Linked DNA regions of Macaca mulatta. The protein of the gene in region 2 interacts with the protein of the main gene of each other region in a pairwise test. Links are inferred from orthologs where the notes say so. Each region holds a gene or a part of one and is shown on either strand. Other genes may lie near its edges.

Region 1 (3,563 bases), on a different chromosome or scaffold from region 2:
GGCTGGGGCAGATCCAAGAGAGGTGGGCTGGGGAATGGCAGGAGGCGGAAAAGCGACCCCACGGTTGGGAAGAAGAAGGGGGCGGAGCTCCTTACCCGGTGGGGGTGGGGACAACTCCTCTAGCGGGGGAGGCCGCTGGAACACCTCGACGGCTGCTGGTGGAGGAGGTGGGTCCAAGGAGTTGGGGAGAGGTGGGGCTGGAGGTGCTGCCTGCCCCTTGGGCATGGAGGCCCCACCGACACCTTCGGCGCTGCTGAACACCAGAGAAAGCGGGGCTCGGCCCGGTTGGCGACACGCCTTCCCTAATGCAGCATCCCCAGCTGGCCCCACCCCTCCAATCCTGAACCCAGCCCTGCACGTGTGACCCAGGACTAACTGGGTCCTTTCAAGCCCAGGAGTCACTATGACCATTGGCAGGAGGCCCCTCTCGAAAGCCACCTCCCACCCCTCACCCTCCCACGCAGGCTTGTAGGTCTCACCCTGCCGAGGCCAGGGAAGAGGCGGAGGAGGCGGCGGAGAGTCTGCCGTCGGGTACCACCGGGAGGTGCACTGGCTCGGGAATCCGGGGTGGTCTCCTGGCGGGGGTCGGGGAGTGGGTATTAGGAGGAAGGAGGAAGGCTTCTGGCCAGCAGGGGTCGGGTGTGAGCAGGAAAGGCATGTGGCCGAGGGGGAGGTTTGGCGCCAGGCATCCAGCATGACGGCCTGAGCACCCAGGCGCCAGGGGTGGGTGGCGAGGCTGGGGGAGGAGAGTTTCAGGGTCGCGCGGGGTAGGGCTAGGCTAGTTGGCGAGGCCTCACCCCAATGTGGCGGAGGCGGGTGTGGCAGGGGCCTTGATGCTCTTTCGAGACAGGGTGCCTGTCCTTGACAGCTGCGTGCTGAGGTCCTGCGAGGGAGCGGGAGGTAGGGCTGACATTTGGGGTGAGAGGCCGCTCCCCACCCTCATCCCCAAGAGGAAATGGAGGAGGGGCGGACGAGAACCGGGAGGGAGAGCCCAGCATGGCCAGTTCCCACTTCCACTTCTCAGGGCCCTCTCCTACACTTCCCCCAAGCTACCCCCTTGTCATTGCCTGGGTTCTGGGACTCAATTCTACCAAAGCCGACAGCCACTTCCTCTGCACAGCCACAGCGGATTGAGTGGGCCCGGCACCCCTGTCCCTCCTCCAAACCATCTCAGAGCCCAGGAAGCTGAGGCCCTGGCTTAGTAGTCCCTAACTTTGATTGGGCTGAGGAGGCGGTGGGGAAAGGAGAGGACACATCACACTTAGAAGTGTCCCACCTGTCATTTTCGAAGATTTGTGGAATTGGCTTTGGGGAGTTAGGGCAGAGAGGAGCAGGACCCAGGCCACTTAGAGGGGATGTGCAAATGACAGGGCGCACACCCACATGAAAGAGGGAACTTCTGTTACCAATGGGACTTCCCCAAGGGGTGGGTACAGTGTTACCTCATAGGCTTCACCAGGGGCAAGACGAAAGGGATTTGAGCTGAAGCACAAAGAATATAAGTTGGGCTGGGAGCGGTGGTTCACGCCTGTAATCCCAGCACTTTGGGTGGCTGAGGCAAGCAGATCACCTGAGTTCAGGAGTTCAAAACCAGCCTGGCCAACATGGAGAAACTCCATCTCTACTAAAAATACAAAAAAAAAAAAAAAAAAAAAAATTAGCCAGGCATGGTGGCAGGCACCTGTAATCCCAGCTACTCGGGTGGCTGAGGCAGGAGAATCACTTGAACCCAGGAGGTGGAGGTTGCAGTGAGCCAAGATCACGCCATTGCAATCCAACCTGGACAACAAGAGTGAAACTCCATCTCAAAAAAAAAAAAAAAAGAATATAAGTTGGACAACAGAGACCTTACTGGTGGGGAGGAGGCCTGGTGGTTGAAGGGGAGAGTGTGGTTTCCCCTTTAAGGGTGGCTGATAAGTTCAGGATATCAAGGGGTTCATTTCAATACAGAAATGTCAAGGTGTGGAGACAGGAATTGAAGACGGGACGGGTGTGAGTGCGTGCCCTCTCCGACCTCGCAGAAGGACGTGGGCTGAGAAGACGCCAGCGCCATGCTCCCCTCTCTTCACCAAGTCCCCTTTGTGTGGCTGCATCCCCGCTTCTTCTCACCAAAGCAGCTGTGGGGTGACTGCTCAGTGCAGTGACCTCAAACCCCCAGACAGAGGAAGTTGCTGTTCTCATGTGGCTGGGAGCCATTCTCATGCACACCCTGACATCCTCCCTTCCCCCTCTTCCCCTTCCCACATGCCCGGTGGCACAGGGGCAGGGCGGGGGGGCGAGGGGTGCTCAGGATCTCACACTCAGCAGATCCTCTGAGGACGGTACAGACCAGTTTTGGAGGGAGGGATTACAAAATCTAGGGAGAGGGAGAAGAGCTCAGAGTGGTGGCTTCAGGGAGTGGGGAAAGAAAGCAGTGGCAAGTTGGGACAAAATGTGCAGGAGAACTGGGGGTCTGGAGGGAAAAGGGCCACAAGGCACGAGAGGGTGGGTTGGAGGGAAAGAAGAGGGTCCCTCTCTCTACCTTGATCCCATGGCCAATGTCGTCCAGGCAGCCAAAGTTGAGGGGTCTCCTGCAGTAGGGCGTGAGAGGGGGTAGGCTCTCTGGGGCGATGACCTTCTGGCCTGGGGGCAGCCGCTGGACAGTGGCTAAGGTGCCGATCTCCCTTCGGGCCACCTTCTCCATGTGCATGTTCACCATCTGCATGACAGGGTTCAAGGTGACAGAGAGGGGTGGTCTGTGTCCAATGCCCTTCCCCCTAAGGAGGAAGAAGATAGAGACTTTGGGCTGGGGGTAGGGACCATGGGAGGCAACGAGGTCTAGAAAAAGAGGGCCCTTCCCCTCCCCCCGCTCCCCCACCAGGCTACATAGCAATTGGGAAAAGTGGCAGGAAAGGATGAAGCCACTTTGGAGCCACTTCCTGGTGGAAAGAGTAAGGGTTATTATTAGCTGAGCAGGAACAGGAGGAAAAGAGAAAACACAACATCCCTGGGGATGCCGGGAAGAGACAAGCACTGGGCTGGCTTGGGAGCAGAGGGGGAAAATATGGAGGTGGCAGAGAATGGTGGCTTGACCAGCTTTGGGGGACAAATAAGTGAACTGACTTCCTCTCAGAATGTTCCATGGAGAAAGCCTACAGTTCGAAAGGGTGGGAACTCTGGTCTGCGGGGGGAGAGGAAAAGGCACACCCCACCCACTGAACATGTGGGTGATGCACAGGCCAGGCTGAATGTGTGGCTGGGTCTGTGCATGTGCTTTATGGGGCAATTCCTCGGTCAAGGATCCAGGAAGGAAGGAGGGTGTGTGCGCTAGAACACTGTGGCAGGGTGGAGGGTGTATACTGTATGGTGCTGGCAGTGCTTCCAGGGCTGAAGATGACCTTGTCAAGCTAGCACCCTGGGTCTAGGATATTTATTAAGGCACTGCTTGTATTTAGATGCAAACAGGGTTCATTTGCTTCTTTCCTGTATATGCCGCTGCTCTGATTGGTAGATATTACTTTCTAATGTCCAGGATAGAATTCCAAGAAAGAAAAAGCTCTGCCTTCGGGGAATTTGTAGCATAG
Region 2 (3,992 bases):
AAAGTTCACCTGAGATCCCACTTTCTCTTTAAGGTCTTCCCTGACAGTCCCCAACTTCTCAACTCTTACTGCCCCTCCTGTTTATGCTTATTACTGTCTATGCTACAGGGTCCTTACAGCGAGTCGCCTCCTCATTTCTGTGAGTGCTGCCTTCCTCACTCCCGACCAGTCCCTGAAGACAGAGGCCGCTCCAACTCAGGCGTAAGAGCAAAAGGGCAAAGCATCTGTGGTCAGGAGGCACAGGTTCAAGTCCTGGGTCTATCACTCACTGGCTATGTCTCTTGTCAAGTTACTCTCTCCTTCTATGAAACAGAAACAATAAAAACAATGCTAGCTGGGTGTGGTGGCCCACACCTGTAGTCCCACTGAGGCAGGAGGCTTGCTCGAGCTTGGGAGTTTGAGGCCAGCCTGGGCAATATGGCAAGACCTCATCTCTAAAAAATACAAAAACAAAAACACCCCACAATGCTACCTTCAGGATTATTGCAGTAATTAAATAAAATAATGTCAGTGAAAGCATTCTGTACGTTGTCATGCACTCAAGAAAATTCCTAGCTCCTAATCCAGTTAGGGCTTGGAAAACGTTTCTTGATTGGTGAGTAGTCAGAGCTAGAGCTAGTAAGATATATTTGCACATTAAAAAGGCCCTTTGTATCCCCACCACAGGCGCCGTGGTATCCCCATATGTCAGTCAGCATGAGGAAAAACAAAAAGTTCACAGCTCCTATGGCTGCTGACCTTGCAGCTCCATGAACGCTGCTTCCACCAGGACTGTCACTACGGGGCCAGGCCAGGGACCTGTGGCAGAGTACAAGCAGCCTTGTACGGGGAAGGGATGCTCCAGAAAACCTGGGCTTTTGCTTTGGTTCAGCCACTACTCTGCTCCCCGTAGACAAACTCTGCTCCACACTGGGCCTCAATTTCCTGATCTGTGCACTCAGGAGCTGGACTAGATTAGTGTAATCTTCAGACTTGAAAATCATCACCACCACCAACAATATGACTTTTTTTCCCTCAATTAATTATCAAGGAATACATTAAAAAGACAAAAGTACTCAAGCCTGTAATCCCAGCACTTTGGGAGGCCGAGACGGGCAGATCACGAGGGCAGGAGATCGAGACCATCCTGGCTACCACGGTGAAACCCCGTCTCTACTAAAAAATGCAAAAAACTAGCTGGGCGAGGCGGCGGGCGCCTGTAGTCCCAGCTACTCGGGAGGCTGAGGCCGGAGAATGGTGTGAACCCGGGAGGCGGAGCTTGCAGTGAGCTGAGATCCGGCCACTGCACTCCAGCCTGGGTGACAGAGTGAGACTCCATCTCAAAAAAAAAAAAAAAAAAAAGACAAAAGTAGAGTTATTTTGGCTGAAGTAGAGGATAAGATGCCCAAAGCACCACTAACCTAGGTAAACTACTGTAGATCATCTCCAAGGTCTTTTCAAGATGGAAACTTCTAGATTTCTACGATTTTAAAACTGAAAAAGAGATTGATGTGCCTCCTCCCCATTTACTTCTGATATAATTTTCTGCAATTAGTAATTGGCAGGGTAGAATAAGCTGCTGGAATTTTTCACAATGTAATTTACAACTAAAAATGACTTTGGAAGTTGATATGCCTTTGAAATGAAAAGTATTCTGTTTTCAGAAGTTCCATTCACAAGTCCTCTAAAGTTAAAAGAAAGTTACTAAAATGATAGGAGCAGAAATAAAGCCCACTGGAAAATAAGCAGCCCTGGACAAGTTCTACCTACCACCATGTCAATTTTAACAACTCACTGCAAACTGCTTCTCAAGAGCCTGTGTAGCGTGCTGCGAAAACCACCGGACGAGGCCATCCTTGTTAAACCCTGGTTCCATTCCTTCCTCCACCTGCCATGTGACCTCGGACAAGCCCCACAACTTTTCAGAGGTTTTCTCAGCTATGAAACAGGAGTGATGACGGCGTTCTCATCGATCTAACACGATTAAAAGATTCAAATAAGAAAACTGGTGAAATGGCACTTTGAAAATTGTGAAATAATTTTCAAAGTGAGGGACCATTACTTTATGCTAAAAAACAAAGCTGTCATGAGTCAACCAAACAAATGCCCCAAACCCCACAGGTTAAAAGTCTGTCTGTCCTATCATCTATAATCTTTCAGAGTTGTATGGCAGGGGAGAGGCAGGTCCAACATGTAATCTCCCCTTTAGAAAGAACAATCTCAATGAGGAGTGCAGTTTGTAGACTGGCTGGCACTCACACATGTGCTAAACAGCAACAGCCTAAGGTCACAAGTCTCACAAGTGGAGGGTCAGGATTCTTGCTATTAAGTTCATGAAGTTCCTATAATAAAAATAACTCTCTCTGTCTATATTTAGATAAAACAACCAGTCTCAGGTCATTCTAGAGAGAAGAGCCAGGACTCATCAAAATGTACCTCTGAGCTAAACAACAATCCCCTAGATGGCTCAGACCCTCCTCCCTATAATCTGAGGTAGGGGCTAATTTCTGAGTAAATCCTTCATCCAGAAGCCATTAAGGGTCACAGGCATCAAGAGACACAGGCCTGTGTAATGGAAAGACCAGCGGCTGGAGAGTGAGCAGATTGTCACCAACGTGCTGTGTAACCTCATGTAAGTCCCCTGCCCTCTGGTCATGGATTTCTTGATCAGTATACTGAGGGGTCATGAGATGATTTCCACAGCCCATTCACCAGTAAGATTCTAGGTTTCCTCTTGACATCCCTCTGTTCCCTGTATTGGTTTCAGTACTCACCTTGTGGCCATGGCTGAAAAGTGGCAGCACAGGGAACCCTGAGGAGGTGAGTCCGGTACTCCCACTGGGCTATGCTGATCAGAGGACCACAGACTCTCTGAAGACAGCAACTTGATTTTTATAGACTACTTAAAACCAAACAGGAAAAGGAAGCTGAACCAGAGACAAAGGGGAAACAAACCCAAGTGAAAAACTGAAACCTAGGTAGAAAATAGAGAAACAAGAAGCTAGCAGTGCAGAGCCCTACCAGCGTGGGTGGCTGAGAGGCACTTCACAGGCCTGACACCTCCACGGCTGGCAACCTCAAGCCTCTAAGCACTTCCTGCAAGGGTGCAAGGGTGGGTGATGCCTGCTGGAGGTAGGGGCCAGGTCGTGGTGCTGGCCCCCGACGAACTAGCTCTATAGTCTGTCTAAGTCAATGCCATTTAAGAGGTCTGGGCCTCGGTTTTCCATCTGTTATAGAAAGTGCAGGCTCAGCACAGACGACTTCCTATAGGCCTTAAGAAAAGGCTACAAGAACTCGCAAGAGTCCCCGCTGACTCTCCAGAGAATAGAAGACTAGATGATAAAGACTATAAGCTGATCTTTTTTTTTTGAGACAGAATTTCACTCCCATCGCCCAGGCTGGAGTGCAATGGCACGATCTTGGCTCACCGCAACCACCGCCTCCAAGGTTCAAGCGATTCTCCTGCCTCAGCCTCCTGAGTAGCTGGGATTATAGGCATGTGCCACCATGCCCAGGTAATTTTGTGTTTTTAGTAGAGACAGGGTTTCTCCATGTTGGTCAGGCTGGTCTCAAACTCCCGACCTCAGGTGATCCGCCTGCCTCGGCTTCCCAAAGTGCTGGGATTACAGGCATGAGCCACCATGCCAGGCCGCCGATCAAGTCTTAATATTTGACTCTGGAACAAAATTTGTACTTCTACCGAGCAGACAGCTCTCTCTAATGAGGACATTTAAGTCAGCAATTTAGAGCCTGAAAGGAAAACATTTGAGGAACACTGAGAACTTGGCTTTGTCACTTGTTCATTAAATGGGTGGCCTCAACTGTAAAATGGGGTTAGTTATACTTACTTTGCCTATCTCCAACAGGGTTCTCATGAAGATAAAATCCAGTTCAATCTTTCTTTCAAAATCTACTGAGAACTCACTAAGAAGCATGCACTGTGTTAGAAATCACAGACAAAAAATTCAGAACGACCGTACTGGTCCTTAAAGGACTTTTATGGCTTAGGAAAG
Region 3 (3,563 bases), on a different chromosome or scaffold from region 2:
CATATACCTGCTGAGCACTTGACTAGAACTGAATTAACTGTATATATCCTGGTGGGAATTTATACCTTCACAAAAGATCGTTCTATCTGTGCACTAGATAAATAATTCTCTCTATTCAGTTTTTATTTAATGCCTTTTAACAAAGTTTTATAGTTTTTTCCACAAATGTCTTACACACTTTTGTTAGATTTATTCCTAAGTACTTTATATTTTCTGCTCTAATAAGTAGTATTTTTAAAAATTACGTTTCTGTTGCTAGTGTAGAGAAACGTTTGACTTTCAGTATATTGATTTTGTATCTAGCACATTAAAACCTCTCAGTTTTTTTTTTTTTTTTTTTTGAGAGACGGAGTTTCACTCTTGTTGTCCAGGCAGTAGTAGAATAGTGCGATCATGGCTCACTGCAACCTCTGCCTCCCGGGTTCAAGCGATTCCCCTGCCTCAGACTCCTGAGTAACTGGGACTACAGGCATGTGCCACCAAGGCCAGCTAATTTTTGTACTTTTAGTAGAGACAGGGTTTCATCATGTTGGCAAGGATGGTCTTGATCTCTTGACTTTGTGATCCACCTGCCTTGGCCTTCCAAAGTGCTGGGATCATAGGCATAAGCCACTGTGCTCAGCCCAACAAATACTTTTTACATCACAAAGGATCAACGTGCCAAGTAGCAGCACTTCTATCTCGCCAGAGCTTGTCTGCTGTTTGCTTTTATGGACCACAGTGAACTTCTTCACACTGAACTGAGTTAAGCCTCTATCAGAAGCAGGTAGACCAGGTCTCCAAAGGCAAAACCAACCACAATCCTTATGATGAGAGACACCTGTGAATAACGTGGTACCAACTCCAACTACAGGCCTCACCCAACATTGATATACTGTTGCATTATAAGCTAAAATCTTCACTTCTGGAAGATGCTGGAGATACTATTACCTTGTGCTCTTGGTGTCTATCTAGCAGGGCTTCAGCCCCAGCCACATCATTGGCAAGCTCATCTGCATTGATGAGGGCTTTCATCTCAGTCACCCAGCTGGTGAGGTCACGGAAGTCAGCAAGGAAGCGTTGAAGCCTAGGAAAAGCCAAAGGAAGACATTATGTTTCCAGCAGAGGTTCCAGGGTGGAAAATGGCCTCCCTAAAGCTCCGAATTCTATGTTCTCAAATGTCTAACAAATTATACAAACTCTAGTTCTGGGAAATATGAAATTCTACCAATCTAGACTGTGAAGGAAAGCAAGAGAAGGCTGAAATCAACGCTTTAAAACTTAGGTTCTGTCCATCACTATAAAGCCCCAATCCTGTCCCACATTTCCAACTTCCTTGTTATTCCCAGGTTCAACCCTTGGCTAGTAAGAAGCATTCTTTTCCTTTCCAATCTGGTTGTAATAAGGTATTTAATGTGATACTCAGATACTTAAGGGGATATTTCCATTCTATCAGTCATAATGCAGTGATGCAGAATAGAAGAATTTATGAAGTTGTAAATAGCATACACATACTACACATGATACAGTTGCCAGTCTCCAAACAGAGAGAACATAGGTAAGAAGTGATTTGCATTGGTAGGTGATACCTGACACTTCCACAGAACACAGAACAGACCCTTAACTCTGCTATTCCTGCTTCCTAAAAAGAAGTTAAATGATACTGGTTAAGACCTGGAGCATTATTTGCACCTGTATGAATCATTGAGCCGTGCATGTCTCTCTGCCGCCAAGGTGCGGATCTGCTCCCAGTTTGTAATCAGTTCCTCTCGCTTCACTTGAATCTGTGTTGCACTCAGAGGGTGGGACTGTTGCAGGCGGTCAGCCTCAGCACACAGGGCTTTGACCTAGAAATGAACTCCGTCAGAACTATTCTCCTGACCCTTGGTAACTTATTTACAGAATCAGCTGCTTGTAAAACCCACCTTGTCTTCTAGAGCAGCAAGATCTCTCTCTAGACCCTCGTGCTTCCGAAGCAGAGCCTGAACACTTGCCAGGTCTCGGCCAAAATCATCAGAGGCCATTAACTGCTCCTTTTCCTTAATCCAACTGATAGTCTCATCCACATCCCTACAGAACAAAGGCACCAGTTAATCCACAGCAATGACATCTCCCTAGAACTAGGAACACTCCATGGGACCAAGGCCCAGTCAGCCCTGACAGCTCACCAGCACATGCCCTGTGCTTCACAACTCCCCTCCAGGTTGAGGCCCATTCCCCAAAGCCCACTCTGGCTTGACACCTGTTAAAGCGCTGAACTTCAGCTGCCCCAAAGAGCTTCCCCTGCCTCTGCAGAGCCAAGCCCTTCAGCCGCTGCCAGGCTGCATTGACTTCATCCTGCTTAGTCTTGATCAGTTCCTCCTCAGGGTGCTGCTCCTAAACAAGGAAGAGAAGAGACTGGATTTGTACACAACTTCTGGCTTCTCCAACTAGTTACCCTGGGGTTGGTTCCTTGACGTATCTTAGCAAATCACCACTCTGATGTTAATAAATAGTTTGGCTGTAACTTTGTGGTAGCTTTATCCATGTACTCATCTACCCTAACTGCTTGAAAATTTGGTATTTCAGATGTTCATGAGGCTGTTAAGCATTCTTGTACATAAACATAATTTTCAGGGCTTAAGAGTTTGTTCCTGGCTTTAGACTGAAGACATTTCTTTTTTTCTTTTTTGAGACAGGGTCTTGCTATGTTACCCAGGCTGGTCTCAAGTGATCCCGTCTTGTCAGCCTGGGTCTGGGTAGAGTAGCTGGGTCTACAGGCAGATGCCACTGCATCCAGCTTAGAGACATTTCTTTAAAAGTATCCTTCCCTACCAACCACATTTTGGTGTTTTTAAAAATACGATATAAAGTAATAAAGTGAAGCATTCAGGGTTCTTGTGTTTTTTTTTTTTTTTTGAGACGGAGTCTCGCTCTGTCGCCCAGGCTGGAGTGCGGTGGTGCAATCTCCACTCACTGCAAGCTCCGCCTCCTGGGTTCACGCCATTCTCCTGCCTCAGCCTCCCGTGTGGCTGGGACTACAGGCGCCTGTCACCGTGCCCGGCTAATTTTTGTATTTTTAGTAGAGACGGGGTTTCACCGTGTTAGCCAGGATGGTCTCGATCTCCTGACCTCATGATCCGCCCATCTCGGCCTCCCAAAGTGCTGGGATTACAGGCGTGAGCCACCGCGCCCGGCCGCATTCAGGGTTCTTGAATCCATTTGGGATACCATGGGTTTGGCCTGACTACTCTTCTCAAGCTCAACCGTAGGAAAGCCTAGGGTTTGGAAAGGTAACACATCTGTCACTGTGGAAGGGTGAGATATTTCTGAGGAATGCCGGGTATTCTTTCTCTTAATCATAGACCAGAAAAAGGAAACAAGTACCAGCCTGTAAGCAGATGTATACATTTAAAATTTGTACCCCCCCAAATCAAATTTCCCTAAAAGTAAAAACTCTCGGGTTGTGAGTACTTGATGTCCGTGGAACCCTTTGGACTCAGAGTGGAAGCAGCTTACAGGATTGTACACGTGGGCACTGGGGAAGGGTTATCATTCCCTCTTCACAGGCTCCAGCGCCAGAGTGGAGAGCCTATTCACGACAA
Region 4 (4,141 bases), about 49 Mb from region 2:
CCAGCTATGTACTATTTCAAATGTTACTACCTCAGAATGTCACTTGACTCAAAGATTTTCCTTTCCTTTTCTTCTTCCTCCCTCCCTTTCTTCCCTTCCTTCCGCCTTTCCTTTTTCCCCTCTCTTCCTTCCTCCCTCCCTCCCTCCTTTTACAGGGACTAACACTAGAACCACCGCCTCACCACGCCCCTCATTGGAGGAAACAGAAAGGCACACCATGCTGTAAGCTATGGCAGATGCTCAGGGCACGTGGGGTTGAATAATGCTGTTTGGAGTCAAACACTGAGACTCCGCAGCCACACAGTGATTCATTTACAGAGCTTTACTAAACTACGGGCACTCAGAAATAGACAAACTATTCTTGCCTCAATAAAACCAAAGGCCTTGCGGGCCTCGTGAAAGCTCAAGCCAGGTGCTTTGGGAGGCCGGGAGGAGGAAGAGAGATCCGTGGAAGGAAGCACGTTCACACCATGTCACTGAGGCCTCCGGGCCGAGGTATAATTTAAAGCATGAAACGAAGGGGTCATAGATTCTGACTAATGCTGACCATTTCCATCGGTTACCCAGCTGAATCTTATGGCGACACTAGGAAATCGACTTTATACATGCTCTTTAGGAAACGAGGGACGCAGGATGAAAGAAGTCAAGAGTGTCGCCAGGGCTTGCACCAGCGCCGTCAGACTCCCGCGATGGGGGAGCTCCAGGGCACGGAGTCAGCGGATTTACTGAGACGGAGAAAAGCCCCACTGCCGTGCAGAAGCCTAGGCCCGGGTGAGGCGCCTGCGAAGGCTGCCAACAGCGGAAGAGAAGGGGCGTCCTCCGTGTTGCGCAGCATGCGCCCGCGGTAGGTGGGCGCGGAGCTCAGAGCTGGGAGCCAAACGCAAACGCTGGCGAGAAGCCCCAGCCCCCTCCGCCAGCCCACTCGCTGCGGGGAGGGGTTTCTCACGCCCTCAGCTCCTGGGAGACTGCACCGGAGGTCGGAAGGAAGCGGAGCGAGGATGAGTCATCCCGCCTAATTCCTCCTTCCCGGTCCCCCTAGCCTCCGCACGCCGGCCCCCTCCAGAGATCATGCAACCGCGAGCGAAGACTCCCCTATATTCAGACTCTACCGAACCCCCTGCGGCCTGCGGAGACGAGGAGACGGACGGGTCTCGTGGCCAATGAGAGCTTCGATCTCGTGCCCGCCGCCCAATGGGCCGCGGCTCATGGGCCGGGGCGGGACTAGGAGGGCAGGAGGGGGCGGTCCGGGCTGGCGCGCGGCGCGGCGGCTCCGCTGCAGCGACTCACAGAGCTAGCGCCTCTCCGGGTGTCCTCGCCAGCACTGCGCGGGAAGGCGCCACCACCACCGCCGCCGCCGCCGCTGGCCAGGGTGCTGGACAAGACGGGCCCGTCGACCACCTAGCCAGCTCAGGCACCCGCTGCAGCTGTCGCTGCCTCCTCCCAGACCGGTCCCCATGGAGGAGATGGAAGAGGAGTTGAAATGCCCGGTGTGCGGCTCCTTCTATCGGGAGCCCATCATCCTGCCCTGCTCTCACAATTTGTGCCAGGCGTGCGCCCGCAACATCCTGGTGCAGACCCCGGAGTCTGAGTCCCCCCAGAGTCGTCGGGCCTCGGGCTCCGGGGTCTCCGACTATGACTATCTCGACCTGGACAAGATGAGCCTATACAGCGAGGCGGACAGCGGCTATGGCTCCTACGGGGGTTTCGCCAGCGCCCCCACTACCCCGTGCCAGAAGTCCCCCAACGGCGTCCGCGTGTTTCCCCCGGCTATGCCGCCACCGGCCACCCACCTGTCACCGGCACTGGCCCCGGTGCCCCGCAACTCCTGTATCACCTGCCCCCAGTGTCACCGCAGCCTCATCCTGGATGACCGGGGGCTCCGCGGCTTCCCCAAGAATCGCGTACTGGAAGGGGTAATTGACCGCTACCAGCAGAGCAAAGCTGCGGCCCTCAAGTGCCAGCTCTGTGAGAAGGCGCCCAAGGAGGCCACCGTCATGTGCGAACAGTGCGATGTCTTCTACTGCGATCCGTGCCGCCTGCGCTGCCACCCGCCCCGGGGGCCCCTAGCCAAGCACCGCCTGGTGCCCCCGGCCCAGGGTCGTGTGAGCCGGAGGCTGAGCCCGCGCAAGGTCTCCACCTGCACAGACCACGAGCTGGAGAACCACAGCATGTACTGCGTGCAGTGCAAGATGCCCGTGTGCTACCAGTGCTTGGAGGAGGGCAAACACTCCAGCCACGAAGTCAAGGCTCTGGGGGCCATGTGGAAACTACATAAGGTGAGTCCTGAGAAAAACCCACTCCTAACTCGCTGCGTCTTCCATCATCCGGTTTTGCAGCAGACGGTCCCCGTCTCTTGCGCACAGCGCATCCCAGTGGGGGCGCAATGCAGGTGCCTTCGATGTTTACCTCCCCGGTCTGGTGCATTGCAGGAGGCACGGGGGAATCTTAACCGGCGCACGGGGGACTTGAATGCCCCCACAGAGTTGTTGCGGGGATGTCTTAGAGCGGGTCTCTCGGGGCGCGCTGCCTGCGAGCGGGACGCAGGACGCCCCCTCTCCACGGCTGGTCTGTAGCCAGTGGCCGCGGCCAGTGTGTTGGAAAGCACTGCGTAGCTGGGTAGAGCCGCGCCAGTGCCCGGGGCCGCTAGGCACGCTCGAGGGCAGGGCGGGCTGCGAACCCCCGGGGAGGGACTGGAGTGGGGGCGGTGAGGTCGCGCGGACGGCGGGAGTCTGTCGCTGCTGGATAGGCAGACCTGGTGAGGCACGGCGGAGGGTAGGGGAGACGCCGCGGGCGGAATACTAATGAGCCCGGCTGTGGGCCAGACCTGGCTCTGGAGCTGGAGAGAACGCGGGGTCCTGGTGCCACGTGCTCAAAAGACAGACTGGAGAGGGCAGCCAGCGGTCGCCATGGCAACGCGACGTGCAGACTTGGTCCGGAACCCTTCTGGAGTTGGGACCTGGGACTAGAGTGTAAGGACCGGAATTTGCGAAGTCGCGGCCTGGAAGCCAAGGTGCATCTCCTAGGGAAACCTCCTCCTCCCAACTACACACACACCCACTTCTCCAGAATTCAACCTCTTTCCTCTCAGTAGTTATATGTGCAAATATGTGCAAACTTTGGGACACCTGTTACCAGATTTATCTTTCCAGTCTCTTTTAATGATATTTCCACATGGCTAGACACTAAGAGGCTTTAGCAACATGTTAGGTCGTGCCACTCCTCTGCTCAAAACTCTCCAATTGTTCCTATGCTTCTCAGCCTGTCCTTGGAATGGTCTATGAGGCCCTACATGACCTCTTTTCCATTTTGGCCCCCTCGACCTCATTGCCTCCCACTTACTCCCTCTGCTGTAGCCACACTGCTTCTTGCTGTTCCTCAAGTGACACCAGGCACCTCCCCACCCCAGGGCCCTTGCATTTAGTGTTCATTCAGCCTGAAGCTCTCTTCCCCAGTTACCTGACATCCGAATGAGTCACTTACTTGCATCCTTCAGCTCTTTGCTCAGGTATCATCTTTACAGCACCACCTACCCAGACACCCACTAGTTCCCTCTCAGCTTTGGTTTCCTCAGTAGTATTTATCCTTGTGTGGCATGCTATATATTTTAATTATGTTATTTTTGTATTTATCTATTGCTCCCTGTACACACACAGGCATAAACGAAATAAGCCTCATGAGGAAGATTCTTATAATATGCCCACACTGCTTAGAAGGAAGGGAACCACTCTTGAAGAGATGTGTATGAATTTGCTTTTCATTTTTTTAGATGACCCATTTAGTTGGAGCTGTGGAGTGCAGGGCAGGGATTCAGGATGATTGGAAGGAGCTTTTCTTTACATCACTGAGTTGCATACCCAAGGATGAGATAGAGTAGTGAAGATGGTGCCCAGGCCTCATCTGTGGCCTCACTCAGTCTCCCAGAATACCTTGGAGACTAGAAAGGGTAGCTTTTGCAAGTTGCCAACCCTGGAGTTAAGGCTGAAACATTGATATTTTGTTTACAGCAAGGAAAAAAGTCATTAATTTTCAGCAATCAGTGAAAGTTTTCTCAACTCCTTAACCCAGTTGAATGTGATCCATGTTTACAGTCATTCTATTCTCACATATAACCTATTAAATCATATTAGTACTGATGGAGATT

What was found.
Region 1: the proteins of EVL (region 2) and ABI3 interact in binary tests that used the Homo sapiens proteins (3 or more experiments, as listed by UniProt). The link is inferred for Macaca mulatta from reciprocal best matches to the Homo sapiens genes EVL and ABI3.
Region 3: the proteins of EVL (region 2) and SPTAN1 interact in binary tests that used the Homo sapiens proteins (3 or more experiments, as listed by UniProt). The link is inferred for Macaca mulatta from reciprocal best matches to the Homo sapiens genes EVL and SPTAN1.
Region 4: the proteins of EVL (region 2) and TRIM9 interact in binary tests that used the Homo sapiens proteins (3 or more experiments, as listed by UniProt). The two-hybrid records come from large-scale screens. The link is inferred for Macaca mulatta from reciprocal best matches to the Homo sapiens genes EVL and TRIM9.

What each region holds. Positions count from the first base shown.
Region 1 is NC_133421.1:60,787,983-60,791,545, forward strand, and holds part of ABI3 (ABI gene family member 3), read right to left. Parts: intron 2,757-3,563; coding exon of another isoform or gene 2,699-2,756; coding exon 2,479-2,698; intron 907-2,478; coding exon 798-906; intron 576-797; coding exon 480-575; intron 254-479; coding exon of another isoform or gene 251-253; coding exon 96-250; intron 1-95. UniProt on the Homo sapiens protein: May inhibit tumor metastasis. In vitro, reduces cell motility.
Region 2 is NC_133412.1:173,399,695-173,403,686, reverse strand, and holds the start of EVL (ena/VASP-like protein), read right to left. Parts: upstream 2,853-3,992; 5' UTR 2,765-2,852; coding exon of another isoform or gene 2,754-2,764; intron 1,954-2,753; 5' UTR 1,834-1,953; coding exon 1,775-1,833; exon of another isoform or gene 1,750-1,774; intron 1-1,749. UniProt on the Homo sapiens protein: Ena/VASP proteins are actin-associated proteins involved in a range of processes dependent on cytoskeleton remodeling and cell polarity such as axon guidance and lamellipodial and filopodial dynamics in migrating cells.
Region 3 is NC_133420.1:19,091,746-19,095,308, forward strand, and holds part of SPTAN1 (spectrin alpha chain, non-erythrocytic 1), read right to left. Parts: intron 2,356-3,563; coding exon 2,222-2,355; intron 2,050-2,221; coding exon 1,905-2,049; intron 1,827-1,904; coding exon 1,672-1,826; intron 1,067-1,671; coding exon 931-1,066; intron 1-930. UniProt on the Homo sapiens protein: Fodrin, which seems to be involved in secretion, interacts with calmodulin in a calcium-dependent manner and is thus candidate for the calcium-dependent movement of the cytoskeleton at the membrane.
Region 4 is NC_133412.1:124,314,411-124,318,551, reverse strand, and holds the start of TRIM9 (E3 ubiquitin-protein ligase TRIM9), read left to right. Parts: upstream 1-1,280; 5' UTR 1,281-1,454; coding exon 1,455-2,276; intron 2,277-4,141. UniProt on the Homo sapiens protein: E3 ubiquitin-protein ligase which ubiquitinates itself in cooperation with an E2 enzyme UBE2D2/UBC4 and serves as a targeting signal for proteasomal degradation.